5 linked regions of the Mus musculus genome follow. The main gene of each other region encodes a partner of the protein of the gene in region 3 in a complex. Links are inferred from orthologs where the notes say so. Each region holds a gene or a part of one and is shown on either strand. Other genes may lie near its edges. The genes, in order: Cdkn1b, Ccnd1, Cdk4, Ccnd3 and Cdkn1a.

Region 1 (4,086 bases), on a different chromosome or scaffold from region 3:
TTTGTGTTTAGCGCAAACCAAGACTGTTTGGGAATACTAGTGGGCAAAGCCCTTAAAATCTCACTGAACTCTGAGATACGACAGGCCTGGCTATTCTGTTTTAACTTCTGTCACTGTGCTCAGCAGTGATAGAGAAATGTGAAGTTGCCCAAGGAGCTGAAAAAAACCCACCCAACATTACTAGATGTTGGTAATACCGTGGTGGTGGTATTATAAATCACTTGCAAATCTAGTCTTAGATCCTTAGGAAAGTGTTTTCGCCCTTTAACAACCTGCAGCTCTCTAAAAGTATTTGCTTGTATTTGAATATTGTACTGAGTAGGTTGGAAGCAACAGGCTGGTGGGAGAAAAAAGAGAAGGAAGGCACTGTTGTAGTTGGCGTCTGGACTCAGGTGGAGGGAACGGCTTCGCCCGGGAAAGAACATAAGGGTATAAAGGCGAGTTCCCACACGCTATAGCAATGGCTTTCACTGTGCTTAGGAACCAAGAAAATCAGAACTGGCTTTTTCTGATTTCTGTCTGGGACGGCTCTAAAGAGAGGCTTGGGAGAGCACTGGGGGTTTTCAATCTCGAGATCCTACGGTGGAAGCGCTTGGATTCAGAAACACCCTGATAAGAGCGGTCAGTCCTGGCTTCTTTTTGAAACCACCTCCTGGCCTGTCCTACATAGCAGAGACTTCTGGGGTCAGGCTAAGCGGCCGATTCCGCACCCCAGCTAAGGCACCCTGCCGGGTGGGGGTGGGTGGGCTGCCCCAGGCCCTGAGCCAAGGTTTCCTGAATCTCTCGCATACCCTCCTCCATTCCCACCTCGGCGAATGCAGGTGGGCTGAACTAGCCACCGAAGCTCCTAATAAGCCGCCAGCGACCTAGGAGCCCACTGGTCCAGGCCCTAGGTTTCGCGGGCAAAGACCTGGAGGTCGCAGTCGGGAGCGGTGACGCGCCTGCCAGCGCAGCTCTGCAGCGCCGGGACCTAGATCCCCGGGTCCCTGCCTGGCCGCCGCGCTGGCCCCTCCCCAGCTCTCCGGCCGTTTGGCTAGTTTGTTTGTCTTATTTTTAATTTCTCCGGGGCCAGCCAGAGCAGGTTTGTTGGCAGTCGTACACCTCCGAGTAGTCACGCGACCAGCCAATGTCCTGGCGGCGCTACGGGGAGGCGGCGCGCTCGGGAGCGCGGAGAGGCGGCGGCGCCGCGCCCGGGGCCACCTTAAGAGCGCGCTCGCCAGCCTGGGCGGAGCGGCTCCCGGCGCCGAGACCAATGGAGCTCCTCCTCTGTTTAAATAGACTTGCAGTGTCAATCATCTTCTTCTTCGTCAGCCTCCCTTCCACCGCCATATTGGGCAACTAAAAAAGGAGGGGGGCTCGTGCTTTTGGGGTGTTTTCCCCCCTCATCCCTTGTCCCGACTCACTCGCGGCTCCGAGACTCGCGCGGCGGCAAGGTTTGGAGAGGGGCTGCGTTCGCGGGACACACGGGCTCGCCCCAGCCTACGCTCCGACTGTTTGCCACCTCCTCCTGCCTCCTCCCCTCCCTTCCCCGCCCTCCAGTACACTTGATCACTGAAGCCTCGAGCTGCGCGGCGGCTGGGGTGTCCCTGCGCCTCTCTTCCCCAGACCTGCGCGCTACTGCGGCTCGGGCGGTCGCTCGCCTGGCTCTGCTCCATTTGACTGTCTGTGTGCAGTCGCAGAACTTCGAAGAGGGTTTTGCGCTCCATCCGTGGCGTTTCGCTTTTGTTCGGTTTTGTTGTTTATTTCATTTTTTTTTTTCCGGAGAGAGGCGAGGCGGTGGTCCACACCCGCCCGAGGAGGAAGATGTCAAACGTGAGAGTGTCTAACGGGAGCCCGAGCCTGGAGCGGATGGACGCCAGACAAGCGGAGCACCCCAAGCCTTCCGCCTGCAGAAATCTCTTCGGCCCGGTCAATCATGAAGAACTAACCCGGGACTTGGAGAAGCACTGCCGGGATATGGAAGAAGCGAGTCAGCGCAAGTGGAATTTCGACTTTCAGAATCATAAGCCCCTGGAGGGCAGATACGAGTGGCAGGAGGTGGAGAGGGGCAGCTTGCCCGAGTTCTACTACAGGCCCCCGCGCCCCCCCAAGAGCGCCTGCAAGGTGCTGGCGCAGGAGAGCCAGGATGTCAGCGGGAGCCGCCAGGCGGTGCCTTTAATTGGGTCTCAGGCAAACTCTGAGGACCGGCATTTGGTGGACCAAATGCCTGACTCGTCAGACAATCCGGCTGGGTTAGCGGAGCAGTGTCCAGGGATGAGGAAGCGACCTGCTGCAGAAGGTAGTGACTCTTTGGAAAACTTAAAATGTCTGTCTGTCTGTCTGTCTCCGTAAGCGCCCCTTTACTAGACCCTGTTCACTTGCTTTCTCCAGCGTGTTCTGCTTTAGCTCTGGGAAATCGAACTTGTTTGAAGCTTAGGTTTGACATACCCCCTATCCGACTGCTTGCCCTGTTTATGATTTTGAAGTCAGAAGCCGGAGATAGTAAGATGTGATAACTTCCGTAGCCGAACGCATCACAGTTCCTCCCCTCTAGCCAGCTGTAGATACGTGACAAAAGTTCGGATGTTTACCAACTGCCTCCTCCTTGGCTGGGGTGGGGGGGTGGGGGTGGGGATGGGGGTGGGGAAGAGACGTGGGGTGTAGAATACTCCTTGTGTTAGTGGGAACAACCTTATTTTGTGTCCTTAGATGCTACCGGGGATGACGGGTCCAGGGGTCGTGGGTGGAGGTAGTGAGTGGGTTGTTCATCCCTTGGGCCTACTTCTGTCAGCCATTGTTGTCGATAATAAAGATGGTTTGTGTGTGTTCTCTTAAAAATTTCCCCTTGCCCCCCTCTTAGATTCTTCTTCGCAAAACAAAAGGGCCAACAGAACAGAAGAAAATGTTTCAGACGGTTCCCCGAACGCTGGCACTGTGGAGCAGACGCCCAAGAAGCCCGGCCTTCGACGCCAGACGTAAACAGCTCCGGTGGGTTAATGAGGAAGAACACAAAACTGACACCCCATCTGGGCTGCGCTCCCCGGGGGGCCTGCAGACCCCAGGACTGCTGGCAGATTAGTTGCCTGCCAGGAGGAATTACTTTCCTTGATCAAAAAAATTAACACTGGGGAAGGCTGGAATCACTTGAGGGGACTATAATGCAGTATTTGCACCCCAAGATATTTACCTTAAAGTGGAATCAGAATGAGGTTCCCAAGCAAGAACTTGCCACCAAGGCCCCAAAGGATAGGGACGGTCGTATCCTTATGAATCCCACTAAAACTTAGGCTGGGAATGACAGTTTTCCTTTCCAGTCTCAGTTCATGAGAACCCATTTCCCAGAGGTTCGTTTTGAGCCAATAGCCTATTTTGAACCATTTGAACTGTAGAAAAATGGCAAATATATACTTACATGTATGTTCTTAAGAGAAAAACTAGGTACCCATAGTGCACGTTTGATTAGGAGTGTGAATAGAGCTGCCGTGGCTCGAGTTCTTTTTATCTTTTGCTTTTGTTTTGGTTTTTGGTTTTTTGAGATAGGGTTTCTCTGTGTAACAAACAGCTCGGGCTATTCTGGGAATTGCTCTGTAGACCACGCTGGCTTCGAACTCACAGAGATCTGTATTGTCTCTGCCTCCTGAGTGCTGAGATTAGAGGTTGTGTGCCATCACCTCTGGGTACTTTTTTATTTTTTTTTAAAGTTGTGCCTTGTATGCTGGTAAATTTTGGAGAGAAAGGAACTTCATACTTAAAAAAAAAATTAGACTGGAAAGTTCAGAAGTACTAATGCTCCCACAGAATTGATTTTAACCCTGAGGTTACAAAGCAGAAGTTAAATGAACAGCTAGAGGAAGCAGCCTTCCCACACGTCAGCACCGTATGCTAATTTGCTGGAACAGGACGGTTTGGATGTTTATAGGGGAAATGGATAGTAGATGTTAGGACCAACTGAGAAGGTCCAACACAAGTGTGGATTTTTCCATGTGTCAAAAATCTCATCACCCCACTTGCCTAATTAGAGTAACCCAGCCCCTAAATTTACATAGATTGACTATTCATATGCTCTAACTACTTATAATAGTTTATAAGCTCCTTATGAAGAAAACC
Region 2 (4,175 bases), on a different chromosome or scaffold from region 3:
GTTTGCGTCTTGTGTGCCGCCTGGACGCTGTGCGCTCCTTTACCAGTTTCTTCTGGGACACGAAAGTATTCCGTGGGAAATGTGTGTGAATAGTTCGCCTAGCTTGAAGTCGGGTATTGTGAAAACGTTTCCAAAACTAGGGAACTAAATAATGGACGAAGGTGGTGGAACCGCTTTATTCTAAAAATATTTTATTTGAATCTATAAATTATAAACTTAGGAGTCCATTCAGTTAACCACGACCATCTATAGATTCTCTTTAAATATCACCTTATCGGCTCACAAGTTTATCTTGATTCTCACCAGCCGCCCCCCCCCTCCCCCAACTCAAGACTGCAATTCTAAAGGTGGAGAAACACCACCACCCTCAACGAAGCCAATCAAGAAGCTTCCGGTGGTCTGGTTCCTGGAAGGGCGACTAATAACTTGCAGCGATTTACTTTTCTTAATTAAAAAATAAATTAGGAAGGAGCCTATCGTGTCTCAACCTTTTCTTCAACGGTTTATTTTTCTTGGGCAAACCGCCTGCAGTGGAGGAGGGGGATACTGGGGGACCCTGGCCAGGATAAACCGGTCACTGTATGAAGACAAATCTCAGATCCCACCCCACCCCCCCAGCGAGGAGGAATAGATGAAATAATGGCCACCATCTTGAGCTGTTGCTGGAATTTTCGGGGTTTTATTTTATTTTTGAGCGAGCGCATGCTAGGCTGGGGATCCTTTAAAGTTCAGATACCCCTCTGGCCCTTTGCAACCACCCCAGTGCGCCAGGATGGAGCCTGCACGAGAGCTTAGGGCTCGTCTGGCATCTTCGGGTGTTACACAGTTCCTGAATTTTACACGTGTTGATGAAATTGAAAGAAGACAGGGACGCTGGGATTTCTAAGCAATGGGTCCGCCTGTGGGTGCCTCGTGGCGTACTCGGAAACGCACCCATTCTCCCGGTTTAAGAACAGGGTGTCCTTGCACCCCCAGGCTCCCCTTCCATACATTCTTCCTTGGCTTGCGTGTGGCCTGGCCTCCCTCCTAGCTGTCCTCCTGTCCAGAGCCGCCACTACCCCACCTCCACAGGTCTCGGAGGACCCTCTTAGGGAAAGAAGCCCCCCTCCCCCTTGCCCCGCTCTTTCCCAGTTTGGAGAGAAGCAGTCCGAGCGATTTGCATATCTACGAAGGCTGAGGGGGAAGGGTTTGGGCTTGCCCCCCCCCCGCCGCCCCCCCCCCTCACTGCTCCCGAGCCCCCTCCCCCTGCACCCGCCTCGGCCCTCCCCCTCCCCCTTTTCTCTGCCCGGCTTTGATCTCTGCTTAACAACAGTAACGTCACACGGACTACAGGGGAGTTTTGTTGAAGTTGCAAAGTCCTGCAGCCTCCAGAGGGCTGTCGGCGCAGTAGCAGAGAGCTACAGACTCCGCGCGCTCCGGAGACCGGCAGTACAGCGCGAGGCAGCGCGCGTCAGCAGCCGCCACCGGAGCCCAACCGAGACCACAGCCCTCCCCAGACGGCCGCGCCATGGAACACCAGCTCCTGTGCTGCGAAGTGGAGACCATCCGCCGCGCGTACCCTGACACCAATCTCCTCAACGACCGGGTGCTGCGAGCCATGCTCAAGACGGAGGAGACCTGTGCGCCCTCCGTATCTTACTTCAAGTGCGTGCAGAAGGAGATTGTGCCATCCATGCGGAAAATCGTGGCCACCTGGATGCTGGAGGTAAGAGACTTTACAGGCTGCTAGCTTGGGACCCCCTGGCAACTTGTTGCTATCACCAACATCTTCCTCCCTTCTCTTCCCTTCCGTCACGGAGTTTTCCGGGTGCGTTGCTAGGACTCGGTATTCACAAAATAAATAGATTGGGTCCTTTTGAACGAGGAAGGTTTGGGAGTTGGGAAGATGGGAATTCCTTTTCCTGGTGGAGGGCAGTCGGGGAGGGGTGCCTTCGAGGGAGGACGGTGTCAGCGACACCACAGAGGGTGCAGGCTGAGCTTCTGTGGCCCCCGCTTGTGCCCCATTCCTGCAGCGCCTCGGCGGGGGCCGCCCCTGCGCGTTTCGCCAGCTCAAGGGGGGAGGGGGCATAAATTTGATTTTTAAATTAATATCCATGGACACGTATGCAAGGGCCGCTCGTGCCAATATTATGCGCCATCTTTGCTCCTTTATTGCAAAGCAAAAAGTGTTTATTAATAATTGGGGGCAGGGCAGGGAGCGGCAGTAGGGGCGCTGGGACAGGCACGAGGGGCCTCGTGGCGGCCGGGAATCACTAAATAAGACAGTGTGAGGAATATTTGGGGTGGGGGATTCTTTGTTCAAACAGCGGACCTGGGTACCCCGCACACGCTGCCTGGCCCAGAGAAAACGCCAGGCTGCAAGGTCGCGTGGCCCCCTAGTCAATGAGACTGACTGTTGTGCGTGCGGTTCTGGATTTGGAGGAACCTGTCTAGGTCAAACTGGGGGCGGAGGGGGACAAAAGCACATTTTCAGATGTTCAGCAGGAGACTCAGGGGTCCCAAAATATTTTAAAATAATTTTTAAAGTGAGGCATAATGCCCTTGTAGAGGCAAACAGCGCCCGCACCCTGCAAAAGGGGGGCCCCCGGAGTTTGAGTTGCTGGAGCTCACCCCCCGATGTCCACTGAGCTCCTGACCCTCGGCTTGGATCAAGGGTCGTCCGATGGTTATTTTCAGGTCGTTTTTAGGCACCTAGTTATTTTTTAAATATTTTTAAATATTTTTTGAAAAGATGACGTCTGGGAAATGCAGCGCGGCGGCCTGGGACGCCACCATTGTGTCTCGCGTGCGCTCGAGCGGCGCCCAGCCCCCGGCGCCCCGCCAGCCCCGCGGTGGGGTTCTCTGGCTTGTGGCTTCCTAATTTCAACAGGGGACCGGGGTCTCCGTGGCCACCATTGCTTCGACCGGCCCCGCCAGCTGCCCAAAGACTTTCCCTTTCAGTTTCAGGGTGGGTGGGCACTGGGAACCCTCGGAGCAGGAGCGCATCCCAGGGAGTTGGCCACCGGAATCCCTCTCTGTGCAATCTAGGAGAAGGGAATGGGGTCGTATCGAGCGACGCCCCCCTCCCACGTTGACGGTCAGGGTCCGGATCCCCGCAGGTCTGTGAGGAGCAGAAGTGCGAAGAGGAGGTCTTCCCGCTGGCCATGAACTACCTGGACCGCTTCCTGTCCCTGGAGCCCTTGAAGAAGAGCCGCCTGCAGCTGCTGGGGGCCACCTGCATGTTCGTGGCCTCTAAGATGAAGGAGACCATTCCCTTGACTGCCGAGAAGTTGTGCATCTACACTGACAACTCTATCCGGCCCGAGGAGCTGCTGGTAACCACGTAACCCACCACCGACAATCCCTCTTTATGCTGGGTGGTGGGAGCTGCAAATGGCAGGAGATCCAGCCATCCATGGACAGATCTCCTGCCCCACGAAAGGCACCCGCACCGCACCGCACGACACCGAAATGGCAGTGAGCAGAATGCCAACCCATTCTACCTCTGTGCCCGCCCTCTTTCCGTACTGGACTCCCCACCATGTCTGTGGTGAAACCACTCTGAAATGTGGGCGGTGTGCGCCCCCTAGCGACGTGCAGGCCACGGCGCTGGCGGTGGGAGATTCTTTTTGTCCGCAGTCTGTCCCCTTAGTATTTCTACAGGCACATTTTGTTGTTTACCTGTATGGGGTCCCGGGTTGACCCAACTCTTTAGACCTTCTCGAATCAGCCTGCCTTCCTTTTGACCGTGTTCCTCATTCTCTGCAGCAAATGGAACTGCTTCTGGTGAACAAGCTCAAGTGGAACCTGGCCGCCATGACTCCCCACGATTTCATCGAACACTTCCTCTCCAAAATGCCAGAGGCGGATGAGAACAAGCAGACCATCCGCAAGCATGCACAGACCTTTGTGGCCCTCTGTGCCACAGGTAAGGCTCCACCCCCATTCTTCCCAGGAAGAGCGGGCTCCTTGCCACTCCCCCTGGGGTTAAGGCCTCTTTCCTTGCTATCTATTCTGAGCCCAGGGTGCAGATAGTTTGTTGGAGAGATAGATGATACTGGGTGGCACATTCTCTTGGCTAGTATCTTGGAGACCTAACAGAATGACACAGCTTCCCTGTGCCAACCTTTCCACTGCCAGGAAGTGGTACGGCCACAGCATGCTTTCTGAAGAGGTTTTTGCCTCTTTTCCTAGGC
Region 3 (4,044 bases):
GAGTGAGTTCCAGGACAGCCAGGGCTACACAGAGAAACCCTGTCTCGAAAATCCAAAAAACCAACCAAACAAACAAACAAAAAAACACTAACTCCAATCCCCAGCACCCCCACCCCAAATCAATTTAAAATAGCTCTAGATTTTAGGCAATTTTTCACAAATGGGAACATGGTCCTTCATCCCATATCCCTAAGAGGTGGGAGACAATAAAGGAGTTGGAGCAGACGAAATCGTCACACAGATCTACCTCTGTCTAACTAGATTTCTGTAGGCAGACCATTTAGGAAACGCTGATCAGATCAAGAATATGTTCTAAGCTGGACTGGGGAAAAAATAGGAACATGACCCCAACGAGGAGTTGCAGGTTTGCAAAAGGACACGTCATCTTCCAGCAATGTGGTGGTGACTGACCCTGGACATGCTTACCCTGTCATCTGTTTATGCAATCACATATATATGTAGCAATCTTAGTGTAAAGACTCTTGTAAAATCAAGAACCCCTATTTTCAATCACTTCTTGCTGCTTTTAATATTCCTGGGGAGGTTTACAGGTTGGGAAGAGGGAGGGCATTAAATTGCTGCCCCCCCATACCCATACAGTGGCTTATTATATTTCCTTCTGTCCATCTTTTAATCCTAGTTTCCTCCTCAGATAGAAATTATTTATTCCCTGTTTTATAAGACCACAATTACCTATACTAGTTATCTTTATCATCACTTCAAAGGGCGAGTGACTGAGACACCAAAACAAAAACATCGCATACCAACTGGAAGGAAGCACTTAGTAAAATTGTGTTGAATGAATGAGTAAAAGAAAGACACAAATACGAATGTTTCCCCATGGCGGTGGAGTGGAAATGTTACAGCACCATTTCTGGCACCAGGATCTCCCACTAACACCTCGACCTCCCGCCCACTCAGAGACCCATAGTGAGACTGAAGATGCGCTCTGGCTCGGCCTTGAGCCCAGAGTTGAGAGCTGGTTGGCCCGGTTGCCATGACACCGCCTTGTGCTCCACCCTCTCTCGCCCCCACACACCCCCTCGGCAGTCAGGGTATGGCAGCCAGTCACGTGCCACACAGCGTAACCACACCTCTGCTTCCCAGCGCAAAGTCAAGGGGTCACGTGGGATAGCAACAGGTCACGTGGCCGTCAGGGCCCCGCCCCCTTCCCCACCACACCCCTCCCATCAAAGCAGCCCGGGTTGCCCACTGCGCAAGGGTGAAGATCACGTGTCCAGAACGTCCGGCGCCCGCCCCGCCCCCCGGGTTTCCGCGCGCCTCTCTGGCAGCTGGTCACATGGTGAGGGTGGGGGTGAGGGGGCCTCTCTAGCTCGCGGCCTGTGTCTATGGTCTGGCCCGAAGCGTCCAGCTGCCCGGGACCGATCCCCGGTGTATGGCGCCGCAGGAACCGGCTCCCGGGCCCAGATAAAGGGCCACCTCCAGAGCTCTTAGCCGAGCGTAAGGTGAGTGCAGTCTCATCCAGGATCGGGGGACCAGTCCCCGCCACCACCAGCACCCTCCAGCTCCCCACGCGTGCGCGTCGCTGGCTGATTATGGAAGGTGGCCCAATGGCGGGAAGTGGGGCCTTTGTGGTCGCGGGCAAGGGTGTGATTTTGGAGAGTGAAGTGCAGAATCTTCGGTGCAAACCCTGTGCACTGTGTGATCCTCTTTGTGCCTAGTGCGATGTCCTCCGAAAGGAAAGAAAGCATTCTTTTTCTTCCTCCGGGACAAAACGTGGCCGGAGGAGGAGGGTTTGATGGGAGTCTTTGTGTTACCTAAGGCGCGGGCCCTGGAAGTGTGGAGGGGTGGGATGTTGCTGATCGCGTTGGCGAGGTCTTGTGCAGGAGTTCCTTTGTTACCGCCGGGTCATCCCCCTCCTAACCGTGAGAGTGAGTTTGGTATTAGAAGCCTCTGTGATTGTAGATCCCCTGCTTCGAGAATGGCTGCCACTCGATATGAACCCGTGGCTGAAATTGGTGTCGGTGCCTATGGGACGGTGTACAAAGCCCGAGATCCCCACAGTGGCCACTTTGTGGCCCTCAAGAGTGTGAGAGTTCCTAATGGAGGAGCAGCTGGAGGGGGCCTTCCCGTCAGCACAGTTCGTGAGGTGGCCTTGTTAAGGAGGCTGGAGGCCTTTGAACATCCCAATGTTGTACGGTGAGAAGGTTGGATTGGGAGTGGGGCGGAGAGGACAATAGGACCCGTAAGGCAGGAGTGGGACCCTAGAACGCCAGAGGCCACGTTGAGACAAAGGGGACGACTAGCTGGTGATCATTTGTTCTTCTCAGGCTGATGGATGTCTGTGCTACTTCCCGAACTGATCGGGACATCAAGGTCACCCTAGTGTTTGAGCATATAGACCAGGACCTGAGGACATACCTGGACAAAGCACCTCCACCGGGCCTGCCGGTTGAGACCATTAAGGTGAGTAGGGGTGGGGCTGGGGGCGAGGGTGGACCGATCTTTGCAATAGAAGTTGTTGGGATTTTGAAGTGATACATAGTTTCCGGTGTTCTGTGCTTTCTTCTTGAAAAACAGGATCTAATGCGTCAGTTTCTAAGCGGCCTGGATTTTCTTCATGCAAACTGCATTGTTCACCGGGACCTGAAGCCAGAGAACATTCTAGTGACAAGTAATGGGACCGTCAAGCTGGCTGACTTTGGCCTAGCTAGAATCTACAGCTACCAGATGGCCCTCACGCCTGTGGTCAGTAAAAGGCGTTAGCCGACTAGGTTGTGATAGGGGTAGCTCTTGGTGGTTTCCCATAGCAACTGAGGAGTCTTGTACATGAAGTTTTCAGAGCCAGGCAGGTCTGGTTCGTGAGGTCGACACTCACTCATTTCTACTATTCTCTTCAGGTGGTTACGCTCTGGTACCGAGCTCCTGAAGTTCTTCTGCAGTCTACATACGCAACACCCGTGGACATGTGGAGCGTTGGCTGTATCTTTGCAGAGATGTTCCGTCGGAAGTATGGGACTAGAAACTTTTTGTTGTTAATGGTACAGGGTTAGTCCTGGCCGTAGATCAGGTTGGCCTTGAACTCACAGAGCCCTGGGATTAAAGGCATGCGTTACCACCGCCCGTATGGGACTTGAAGCTCTTAACCTACCTTCAGTTGCACATAGCTTTGGCTGCTTGTCTTACTGTGCTAGAGGTTGAAATCAGAACTCACACACACTCAGTAAATGCTTCCGTGCCACTGAACTTCACACTCCGTCGGCCCCCAAGTCTTTTACAGACATGCCTGTTCTTGACCATTCGCTTTTGTGCATGTATGGTACGGGACATCCAGCCTACCCAGTTCATACTGACCACCTTGCCTAGAACCAAGAAACCATATAGGCATGCCCTGGATTTAGGATCTTCCCGTTCCTCGTCTCCACACTCTCTAGTTGGGTCTACATAACGGTTACTCCTCAATTTTTTTTTTCTTTTAAAAATGTATTTATTTCCATGTATGTGAGTACACTCACTGTCTTCAGACACACCAGAAAAGGACTTCAGATTACATTACAGATGGTTGTGAACCACCGTGTGGTTGCTGGGAATTGAACTCAGGACCTCCGGAAGAGCAGTCTTATCTGCTGAGCCGTCTCTCCAGCCCCCACTCCCCTATTTTTGATATAACACATACTTTGAGTCTTTTTCTGCCTTAGGCCTCTCTTCTGTGGAAACTCTGAAGCCGACCAGTTGGGGAAAATCTTTGAGTAAGTATTTGATAAGGAAAAGGAAAGACATTTCCTGCTGCCGCGGAGACAGGAGCTGGGAAAGGCCCCTCCTAACAGAGTTGTCCTGTCCCCACAGTCTCATTGGATTGCCTCCAGAAGACGACTGGCCTCGAGAGGTATCTCTACCTCGAGGAGCCTTTGCCCCCAGAGGGCCTCGGCCAGTGCAGTCAGTGGTGCCAGAGATGGAGGAGTCTGGAGCGCAGCTGCTACTGGTACTGGACCTGGGCGGGGATTGGGTTAAGATAAGAAATACCGTGGCCTGGGGAACTGGCTCAGTGGGTAGAGTTCCTTTGCATAAGTGTGAGGACCTGAG
Region 4 (3,730 bases), on a different chromosome or scaffold from region 3:
GCAGCACCACTGAGGAAGGGCCTGCCTCCCTGCTAGGGGAAGTGCTTCCAGCCACACCCTAACCCCATTCATCCGGTTTTGTTTTTTTAATACATTCTGAGCTTTGTGCCTCAGCATCAGATCCCTGAGACTGGAGTTTAAAATGGTTAACTGCTGGGAATTGAGTCCAGGCTCTCAGGAGTAGCCAGTGCTGTCGCTGAGCCAAAGTTCTGCACTATGTAGCACAGGCTAGCCCTCTTCCTCTGTCTGCCCTGAGTGTGCTAAGGAAGCACCATGCCTGATGTCGTATGAATCTTAGGGTTCTGTGTAAGGGTCCAGCCCTGTCTCCCGATGAGCCCTCTGGGTAATGCTGGCTGCTCCTTAGCGCTGTAATTCGTCCACAAGGAAAGCAGGCCATGCTGCCTAGGCGGCACCTTTCTAACCCTTCCCAGGAAAAGTGCTCTGCCTAAGACAGCTGCCTGGTGCCCCCCAGCTCCCACAACCCCAGGGATCACAAGAGCCACCTTTATTCCGAAATCTTTATTAAGGCAGCATGATAGAAATGGGCCACCAGCCCAAACCTTGTGGCCCGAGGAAAGACCTGTGACCCTAGGGCTTGCCCTCTCTCCAGATAGCTCTGTCACCTCCACGGCATCGATCCATCCCAACCTAACCCTGCTCTGATGAAGATGAGGTGGAGGGGTGAGGAGAGGAAGGCGTGACCCCCATCCCAGGCTGTAGCAGCTCCTGGGCCACAAAGCAGTAGCAGAGGGGAAGAAGGGAGGGAAAGAGCAACCGCCAGGGTTACCACCACTTGTGGGGTACAGGCCTCACTGTACCCTCTTACAGTTGTATTCAAAGCAATAAATTAAAATGACCACGGCACCCTTAAGACCCCACAATCACAGAAGCTAAGCAGCAAGCAAAGCAACAGTGTATGGGTTCTTGCTCTGGCCAAAGCCTAGGCTGTTCCCTCTAAGAGCAGCTGGAGTACGGATTACACAGAGGCCATCTAGGGCAGCTCCTCATAAGCTTCTATCGGGATGCCCGAAGGAGCCTGCAAGGGCCAACACCTTTGGAAGGTACTGGGGCGTTTTGGCAACTGAGAAGGTTGGAGCCCCGGACAGAAGAGGGACTCAAAAGAAATGCTGGTGTGTGGATTTTACCTGTTTGTATTTCTCTGACCATCATGGCCCAGGACAGCCAAGCTGGTTGAGTGGGAAGGAAGAGGAGCTGACTGGCCATGAAGACGCCCCTCATGACCATGCAACCCCTTAGTGCACACTGTGGGGATAGGCAGGACCTGGCCCCTTGGGCTTTGTGAGGGGGAAGGAGAGCCCCCCTCGGGCTTCAGATATAGCATGGATTGTTCTAGAGGCAGGGAGGGGGTGGCAGGGGCCCCTCCTCTGCTTGGTGGCCTGAGAGGGCCTGTCTCAAGCTACAGGTGAATGGCTGTGACATCTGTGGGAGTGCTGGTCTGACTGGGCCCCTGGCTGCTAGAGCCCCGGGGGGCTTTGGGCACTGGGCTGGGGGCTGTCTGAGCAGCTTCCCTGAGGCTCTCCCTGAGGGCAGCTTCGATCTGTTCCTGGCAGGCTCGCAGGCAGTCCTAGAAAAAAAAAAAAAAACAAGGTCATTCATCCTTGGGCCTCTCTCTCTCCCTCACAGCACTGACAGCAAGCAGGTGGAAAGGCCACCCCCTGTGCACTGGGAAGTCTGGGGAGGTTAGGCCACAGCCCAGCCCAGGAATCAGGTCTTTAGTTCTCAGAAACTGGCAAGAGGATGTGGCAAGGGTGTGAGAGCAACCCTCCATCTGACACCAAGTCCCCCACCCCTGTCCGAGACACAGCACTTGTCAAGAGATGTCAAGAGAAGGGTATCTACATGCCAAGTGTCCTTCACCCCACCCACTCCTCTCCAGACTGGAGCCAGAGATAAAAGGCCAGAGAAGCAGGCAAGGGCGTACAATCATAGTTGGGGGCCCGGGTGGATGGTGCCCTCTGCTGGAGATTCAGAGGAACAGCTTTTTTTTTTTTTTTTTTTAATTTTGTGAAGGGGGGCGAGGGGCTGAGACTTACCACTTCAGTGCCTGTGATCCCGGCCAGCAACTCTGTGAGCTCATCCGCAGACATAGAGCAGGCGCCTAGGCCTAGCACGGCTGCCCCAATGCTGCCTGTGGCGATCATGGATGGAGGATACATCGCAAAGGTGTAATCTGGGAAAAGAAAGGGAGCCATCTTACAACACACCAGGCTGCATCCTGGGAACCCCCAGTGGTGAATGGGGTGACACTGAGCCAAGGGGACAAGGTAGATCCTAGGGAGGAGGGGGTTTGGTTGGTGTGTGCTCACAGTGTTGGCAATCTGACTGAGGAATGCACCCTATCACTGACCCACCAGACCACAGCCCGACCTCCTCTGAGATATGAGCAAACAACAAACTTTCCATCTACCCAAGGTGTACCTGGCACCAGGAACAACAAAATATCCAAAACCCTGCTATGAAGACCTTAGGCAAGTAACTTTTATTCAGTATTCCCAGATCACTGTACACAGGTCTGAGTACTGAAACCATCTCCTGGCTGTTACTACGTATCCTTCCCAAAAAACCCCACAATTTCCCCCAGGTTGGCTCTTACCTGTAGCACAGAGGGCCAAAAAGGTCTGGGCATGCTTTTTGACCAAAGCCTGCCGGTCACTGGGCAGAGACAGGCGGTGCAGAATCAAGGCCAGGAAGTCGTGCGCAATCACGGCAGCCAGGTCCCACTTGAGCTTCCCCAGGACCAGCACCTCCCACTCCTGGGGGTTAGGGAAGGAACATGGAGTCAGCAGTCGGCCGAGGGGGCCGAGAATTTGACAGAAGGGTCACAGTTCTGCCTCTGGCTTCAGGGGCTGCTGCCGCGGGATGACGGGTTTGGGGCAGGGAAGAACTAGGGCCGTACACTTAAGCATCTATTGATGGTTACTAGGTGCTAGAACGACCTGAATTAATCCCTCTTAATCCTCCCATGAGTCTGAGGCGGGCGTGAGTTGAAACAGACCAACTCTAAATTCCACAGGCTTCGGAAATCTCTTCTTCCCCAACATCGCATCCAGGTCTCTTAAACAAAATGAGCATGAAGCCACTCCTAAGGTTCCTCAAAGAGGAGGTTGCCCAACCCAACCCACACCCCCCTTTGTGGGACATCACGGGTGGGTCCTGTCTCCAGACAAGGGCATCCAAGCCAAACAGGATGAATCCAGATGACCCCTGAGAAACCTGTCCAAGCCTACATAACCATTCAGAGGTCTTAGGAGGAGGCTAGGAGCCCCAACCTCAGTCTACTCATATGAAGTTCCTAGCCCTGGCCCGAGCTGCACTTCCGAGTTGCACACAGGAGGATTTCTTCATTGTTTTATCTCAGGAAGGAACTCATGGGTTTGACTCCTCACTGAGGTAGAAATGTCAGCCCCACCCAGTATCTTCCAGGACCCCCCCAGTGACAGCTGTCCCTCTTCTTTGTCCCATGACCTAGGTGTCAGCCCCAGGCTTCTTACAGAACCCCACAGAAACAGCCTGGACTAGAGCCAGAAGTAAGGCAAGGAAGCTTGAAGCTTGCACCCTGGGCTCTATCCTAATAACCAAATAGCATCCAGCCTCTAAAGGGGCACCCCAATGGCAACCAGGAGTGTGGGAGTCCTCACTAGGTGGGCACGCTCCCCTGTATCCAGATGACATGAAAAACCCCAGCCCTACCCCAAGATCAGAGGAGCTG
Region 5 (4,006 bases), on a different chromosome or scaffold from region 3:
ATGTTTCTAGAATTGTCCTTTATCAATGTCATTTTAGTGGACTGTCTGGATCTTGGGAGGGGGAGTATTAGACATTTCCCTCATTTTGGACCCAGAGAAAGAAATCTGCAAGCAGAGTACTCTGGGCAGCTTGCCAGAGGTCAGCAGGTAGCCATTAGTGTGGTCCCAGTCAGGTCTTGATGCTCTCACTTGCAGGATGTATTATGGTGTGAGAAATGTTCACATGCTGGCTTCTGAAGAGGGGAGAGGGGAGGTAAGGAGCCTGGCGGCTGTTTTTCTTGGTAGTCCGTGGTCTGAGAACTGGACTCAATCTCCCCGATTTCTGAGGCGGTTGACAGCATCCTTTCCTTCTGTGGAACTGCTTTCCTCGTCTGTGAGACAGGGAGGAAATGATCGCGTTCTGGACCCGATGTCCGAGGGGCTTCTGGGAGGAGGGGGAAAAAAATCTCCAGACATAGTGGGACTTCTTGGGATTTTAAACTATTTTTTATTATTTATGGGCTTGTTTTGTTTTTGAGAGGGTCTCAATGGATAGCCCAGGCTGGTCTTGAACCTGTAACGCCCCTCGTGCCTCAATCTCCCAAGTATAGGATTCCAGGCTTTTGCTATCATACTCAAATGATCAATTTATTTATATTTGAAACAGTGTCACATATTTCAAGTTGGTCTCCATCGGAATAGGTAGCTGTCAAAACGACCTTGAATGCCTATTTCCCCCTCCTCACCCCCCACTGGGCGCTGTTATTACAGACGTGACCCCGCATGCCCAGTTTATGGGGCCCTGGAGCTCCAACCCAGGGCTTCACTTCCAGCAAGTTAGGCAAACACTGTACCAACAGACCCACCTCCCGAAACCCAGGATTTTATTTACTAATATCAGTGATCTGGAAAAGAGTTAGTCCTTCCCACAGTTGGTCAGGGACAGACCCATAAACACTCACTCAGCTCTAACTGTACTGTTGTTCATAGATGTATGTGGCTCTGCTGGTGCGCTGCGTGACAAGAGAATAGCCCAGGTGTGGGGGAGGGGAGGGCGCGCCCTCTTAACGCGCGCCGGTTCTAGCTGTCTGGCGCGGGCTTAGATTCCCAGAGGGGAGGGCGGGCCAGCGAGTCCCCGGGATCGGTGAAGGAGTGGGTTGGTCCTGCCTCTGAGGGGGCGGGGCCTGGGCCGACGCTATAAGGAGGCAGCTCGACGCCAACTGCAGCAGCCGAGAGGTGTGAGCCGCCGCGGTGTCAGAGTCTAGGGGAATTGGAGTCAGGCGCAGATCCACAGCGATATCCAGACATTCAGAGGTGAGAGCTTCGTGGCAGGGAACAATAGTTCTTCCCCGTAGCAATGCGCTGAGCCCAGTGGGTGTCCCCAGAAGTGTGTGTGTGTGTGTGTGTGTGTGTGTGTGGTGATGAGTGGATCACCTGTGTGTGTATATGTGTATTTGTGCGTGCCCGCCAGAGTCACAGGTGTGTCCGCGGCAGGTGGATGACGGGTGTGGGTCTGAGCGTCCGTGGTGGCTGAAGGCTTCGTTTGTTGGAGTGTGACGAGGGTCAGGCTATGTCGCGGACTCGGCATACAGAGTCTGAACTCCAGGACCACGGATGGCAGCCACTCTTCCAGTCCTTGGAGACCGGGTCCGAGCGATGGCTGGCGGGGATCGGCTACCGGGAGCTCGCTTCTGGTTGCCAATGTTTCTAGGGATTCCAGGTGCGGCTCGCCCAAAGCGTGAGAATGAAGCTCACGGTGCCCCGAGATGGGTCCTGGGTGGCGGTTGTGACAAGCTTCGGCGAGTCTATCTAGAGCTTAGCGCAGAGCGGTTCTCCGATCCCATGGGTGCCGCCGGATCCCCGGTCCTTGTGAACCAAGTGCCCTGTTTCGCGGTAGCCACCACCCCACTGGGCTCTGAGGTCAGCGCGAGCTGTGTCCTCCGCCCTCGGGATCGTGCCTGGGCACGTCCTAGAGGACAGGCGAGGAGGTGACTCATTGTGACAAGGAGACCCCGGGCACTGGATTGAGACCAGAATCGCGCCACAACTGGGGATGGGTCAGTGGCAGCCCAGAAGCCCCTTTCCCTGCCCGGGTACAGCCTCGTTCCTGCCCCGTCCCCTCCCCCGCGCGGCACAGTGACCTATTTGGCGGGCACAGTATGTTCCCAGGGAACCCGGGACACGGGGAGGTCCAGGACGCGGTGTCCGGTCCCCGCTCGGCGGCGCGCCCTCGGGGACAGGGAGTCTGGGCGGGTCCTGTCCACCCTGCCAGCCCGGGAAGCGCAAAGGGTCCCACCCACCGCGCCCACCACGACCCGGACCAGTGACCGTGGGGCGCGAGAGGAGCCCGCACTGTAGAGCGGCCGGTATCCTCGCGGAGTGAGGCTTACGGGTGCCGTACATCAGACGCCCCGGGGCTGGGGCCCTCGACCCAGTCCACACCCAGTGTAGGAAGGTGACCAGGCTGAGTGCGCCCACTAGGGCACATCCATTCCACTCGGAACCTCCGGGGACAAGGGCTACACTTGCACCCTGGTCGTGCGGGAAATACTTTGGGCTTGGGTTTGGCATTTGGGGGCGCGCTGGCAGCTTCCTCTGTCCCCTACGTCGCGTTTCAGAGAGGACACTCAGGCGGTTTTTTGTTGTCCTCGCCCTCATCTATTTTTATTTTCCAGGGATCTGACTCATCGCGTGCTTTGGGCGTGGAGATCAAGGTGGAGGGGGCCAGAGCTAAGAGCACTTTCTTTGCTCTCGAGTGTCCGTGCGTGCGTGTGTGCGTGCGTGCGTATGTGTGTGTGTGTGTGTGTCTGTGTACGTGCGTGTGTGTGTGTGTGTGTATGCGTGCGCGCGCGCGCGCTCAGTCTGGTTTCCCAACATAGGCGGGAATTTAGGAAGCCTGGGCTCATCGTGACGTGTTTTGTGGCCCGGGGTCCCCCTCCTTTCCTCTCCTCTCTCCACCCCAGGGTGACGCGCAGCTCCGGTGCCCAAGCAGTTTTGGCGGGCGGGCAGCGCCGGGCAGGAAACTGACTCACCACTCCTTGCTCGGCCTACGCGCCGCCTACCGAGCGCCATTTCCTGAGTGCACAGCGCCCCCTACCGGCATCAGTGAGGACTGCAAGGCCGGCTAGGCGCGGGTGGCACCACGGGCTTCTGCCACCCCCACCGCGGCTTAAAGGGAATTAAAATATGCCTGATGGCCAGATACAAGTGATTTTAGCAGGGTGTGCTAGCGGACTATTAGGGAGGCGTGGCCCTTGAGAGACAAGGTGGAGATCGTGCCCCTCTTGGGTTCCTGGTCTTATCTTCAGCTATGAAAAACTGGGGACTATCCAGCCTTAGCCGAGTCCATTGGTGTCTTCCCTTCCTTCCTCTGGCCCCTGTGAGCTACCGTCTGGGGAAGGGCACCAAACTTGTTTTTCGGCTCAGTTTGTCTGGGGAAATGAGCCAATCTATATTTCTATATCTATATAGATCTCTCTCTCTGTCTCTGTGTGTGTGTGAAAGAGAGACAGAGACAGAGAGACAAGCTTACAAAATGGCCCCAGCTACCAGTACTATATAGACAGGCTGGCCCAGTGGCCTGGAACTCATAAGGATCACGTGCCTCTGGTGGAGTGCTGGGATTAAAGACTCTCCCCATAACATGGAGCTCAGTCTATATTTAATAAAAAAGCTTTTCCAGCTGATTTTAATGGAGTCCTCTGGTCATGCCCCTCAAGGTGAGAAGACGAGAGAATGATCAATACTAGACCAAAAGGGTCTGAATTCAAACCCCGCTTGTGAGCCCTGTGCCTTTGGACACACATTCTGAACCTGGATTAGCTCTGCCGTAAAAGAATGTGATATTGCCATCTATTAACGATAGCTTTTGGTGGCTTACAACTGCAATCCCAGCACACTAGAGGCAGAGGCAGGAGGATGACTGAGTTGTACTAAAGGATGTGAATAGGCCCCAAGCTCTACCTGTAGGCAGAGGCCATCTGAGGTCCTTTAGGCCTCTGAGGTCTGCACCTTGAGAATCCTTTTG

What was found.
Region 1: the proteins of Cdk4 (region 3) and Cdkn1b are in contact, whole or in part, in a crystal structure (PDB 6P8F), measured with the Homo sapiens proteins. The link is inferred for Mus musculus from reciprocal best matches to the Homo sapiens genes CDK4 and CDKN1B. Residues at the interface, in NP_000066.1 of Homo sapiens: Gly18, Thr19, Val20, Tyr21, Lys22, Ala23, Arg24, Asp25, Pro26, His27, Ser28, His30, Val32, Leu34, Ser36, Met75, Asp76, Cys78, Ala79, Thr80, Ser81, Lys88, Thr90, Val92; in NP_004055.1 of Homo sapiens: Glu53, Ser56, Lys59, Trp60, Phe62, Phe64, Gln65, His67, Lys68, Pro69, Lys73, Tyr74, Glu75, Trp76, Gln77, Glu78, Val79.
Region 2: the proteins of Cdk4 (region 3) and Ccnd1 are in contact, whole or in part, in a crystal structure (PDB 2W96), measured with the Homo sapiens proteins. The link is inferred for Mus musculus from reciprocal best matches to the Homo sapiens genes CDK4 and CCND1. Residues at the interface, in NP_000066.1 of Homo sapiens: Gly45, Gly48, Leu49, Ile51, Thr53, Val54, Arg55, Val57, Ala58, Leu59, Arg61, Arg62, Ala65, Phe66, Asp76, Val77, Cys78, Ala79, Arg82, Ile87, Val89, Asp129, His132, Ala133, Asn134, Cys135, Ser285, Phe287, Arg288; in NP_444284.1 of Homo sapiens: Leu6, Cys7, Cys8, Glu9, Val10, Thr12, Ile13, Ala30, Lys33, Ala34, Thr37, Phe108, Lys112, Met113, Glu115, Pro118, Leu119, Thr120, Ala121, Leu138, Gln139, Glu141, Leu142, Val145, Asn146, Lys149, Trp150, Asn151, Leu152, Ala153.
Region 4: the proteins of Cdk4 (region 3) and Ccnd3 are in contact, whole or in part, in a crystal structure (PDB 7SJ3), measured with the Homo sapiens proteins. The link is inferred for Mus musculus from reciprocal best matches to the Homo sapiens genes CDK4 and CCND3. Residues at the interface, in NP_000066.1 of Homo sapiens: Gly46, Gly47, Gly48, Leu49, Ile51, Thr53, Val54, Arg55, Val57, Ala58, Leu59, Arg61, Arg62, Glu64, Ala65, Phe66, Val77, Ala79, Val89, Asp129, His132, Ala133, Asn134, Cys135, Arg163, Ile164, Tyr165, Ser166, Tyr167, Gln168; in NP_001751.1 of Homo sapiens: His11, Pro13, Arg14, Ala15, Gly16, Pro17, Asp18, Arg20, Leu21, Arg26, Val27, Ser30, Leu31, Arg33, Leu34, Arg37, Tyr38, Glu74, Lys112, Leu113, Arg114, Glu115, Thr116, Pro118, Ile121, Glu122, Pro134, Arg138, Glu141, Val142.
Region 5: the proteins of Cdk4 (region 3) and Cdkn1a are in contact, whole or in part, in a crystal structure (PDB 6P8H), measured with the Homo sapiens proteins. The link is inferred for Mus musculus from reciprocal best matches to the Homo sapiens genes CDK4 and CDKN1A. Residues at the interface, in NP_000066.1 of Homo sapiens: Gly18, Thr19, Val20, Tyr21, Lys22, Ala23, Asp25, Val32, Leu34, Ser36, Met75, Asp76, Cys78, Ala79, Thr80, Lys88, Thr90, Val92; in NP_000380.1 of Homo sapiens: Met38, Cys41, Ile42, Ala45, Arg48, Trp49, Phe51, Phe53, Val54, Glu56, Asp62, Phe63, Ala64, Trp65, Glu66, Arg67.

The regions. Positions count from the first base shown.
Region 1 is NC_000072.6:134,919,117-134,923,202, forward strand, and holds the start of Cdkn1b (cyclin-dependent kinase inhibitor 1B), read left to right. Parts: upstream 1-1,284; 5' UTR 1,285-1,803; coding exon 1,804-2,278; intron 2,279-2,839; coding exon 2,840-2,958; 3' UTR 2,959-2,967; intron 2,968-4,086. UniProt on the Homo sapiens protein: Important regulator of cell cycle progression. Inhibits the kinase activity of CDK2 bound to cyclin A, but has little inhibitory activity on CDK2 bound to SPDYA. Involved in G1 arrest. Potent inhibitor of cyclin E- and cyclin A-CDK2 complexes.
Region 2 is NC_000073.6:144,937,026-144,941,200, reverse strand, and holds the start of Ccnd1 (G1/S-specific cyclin-D1), read left to right. Parts: upstream 1-1,369; 5' UTR 1,370-1,507; coding exon 1,508-1,705; intron 1,706-3,098; coding exon 3,099-3,314; intron 3,315-3,747; coding exon 3,748-3,907; intron 3,908-4,175. UniProt on the Homo sapiens protein: Regulatory component of the cyclin D1-CDK4 (DC) complex that phosphorylates and inhibits members of the retinoblastoma (RB) protein family including RB1 and regulates the cell-cycle during G(1)/S transition.
Region 3 is NC_000076.6:127,062,294-127,066,337, forward strand, and holds the start of Cdk4 (cyclin-dependent kinase 4), read left to right. Parts: upstream 1-1,241; 5' UTR 1,242-1,466; intron 1,467-1,926; 5' UTR 1,927-1,942; coding exon 1,943-2,160; intron 2,161-2,291; coding exon 2,292-2,427; intron 2,428-2,541; coding exon 2,542-2,709; intron 2,710-2,861; coding exon 2,862-2,971; intron 2,972-3,659; coding exon 3,660-3,710; intron 3,711-3,807; coding exon 3,808-3,943; intron 3,944-4,044.
Region 4 is NC_000083.6:47,596,464-47,600,193, reverse strand, and holds the end of Ccnd3 (G1/S-specific cyclin-D3), read right to left. Parts: intron 2,775-3,730; coding exon 2,615-2,774; intron 2,192-2,614; coding exon 2,055-2,191; intron 1,586-2,054; coding exon 1,418-1,585; 3' UTR 505-1,417; downstream 1-504. UniProt on the Homo sapiens protein: Regulatory component of the cyclin D3-CDK4 (DC) complex that phosphorylates and inhibits members of the retinoblastoma (RB) protein family including RB1 and regulates the cell-cycle during G(1)/S transition.
Region 5 is NC_000083.6:29,092,569-29,096,574, forward strand, and holds the start of Cdkn1a (cyclin-dependent kinase inhibitor 1), read left to right. Parts: upstream 1-1,200; 5' UTR 1,201-1,293; intron 1,294-4,006. UniProt on the Homo sapiens protein: Plays an important role in controlling cell cycle progression and DNA damage-induced G2 arrest. Involved in p53/TP53 mediated inhibition of cellular proliferation in response to DNA damage.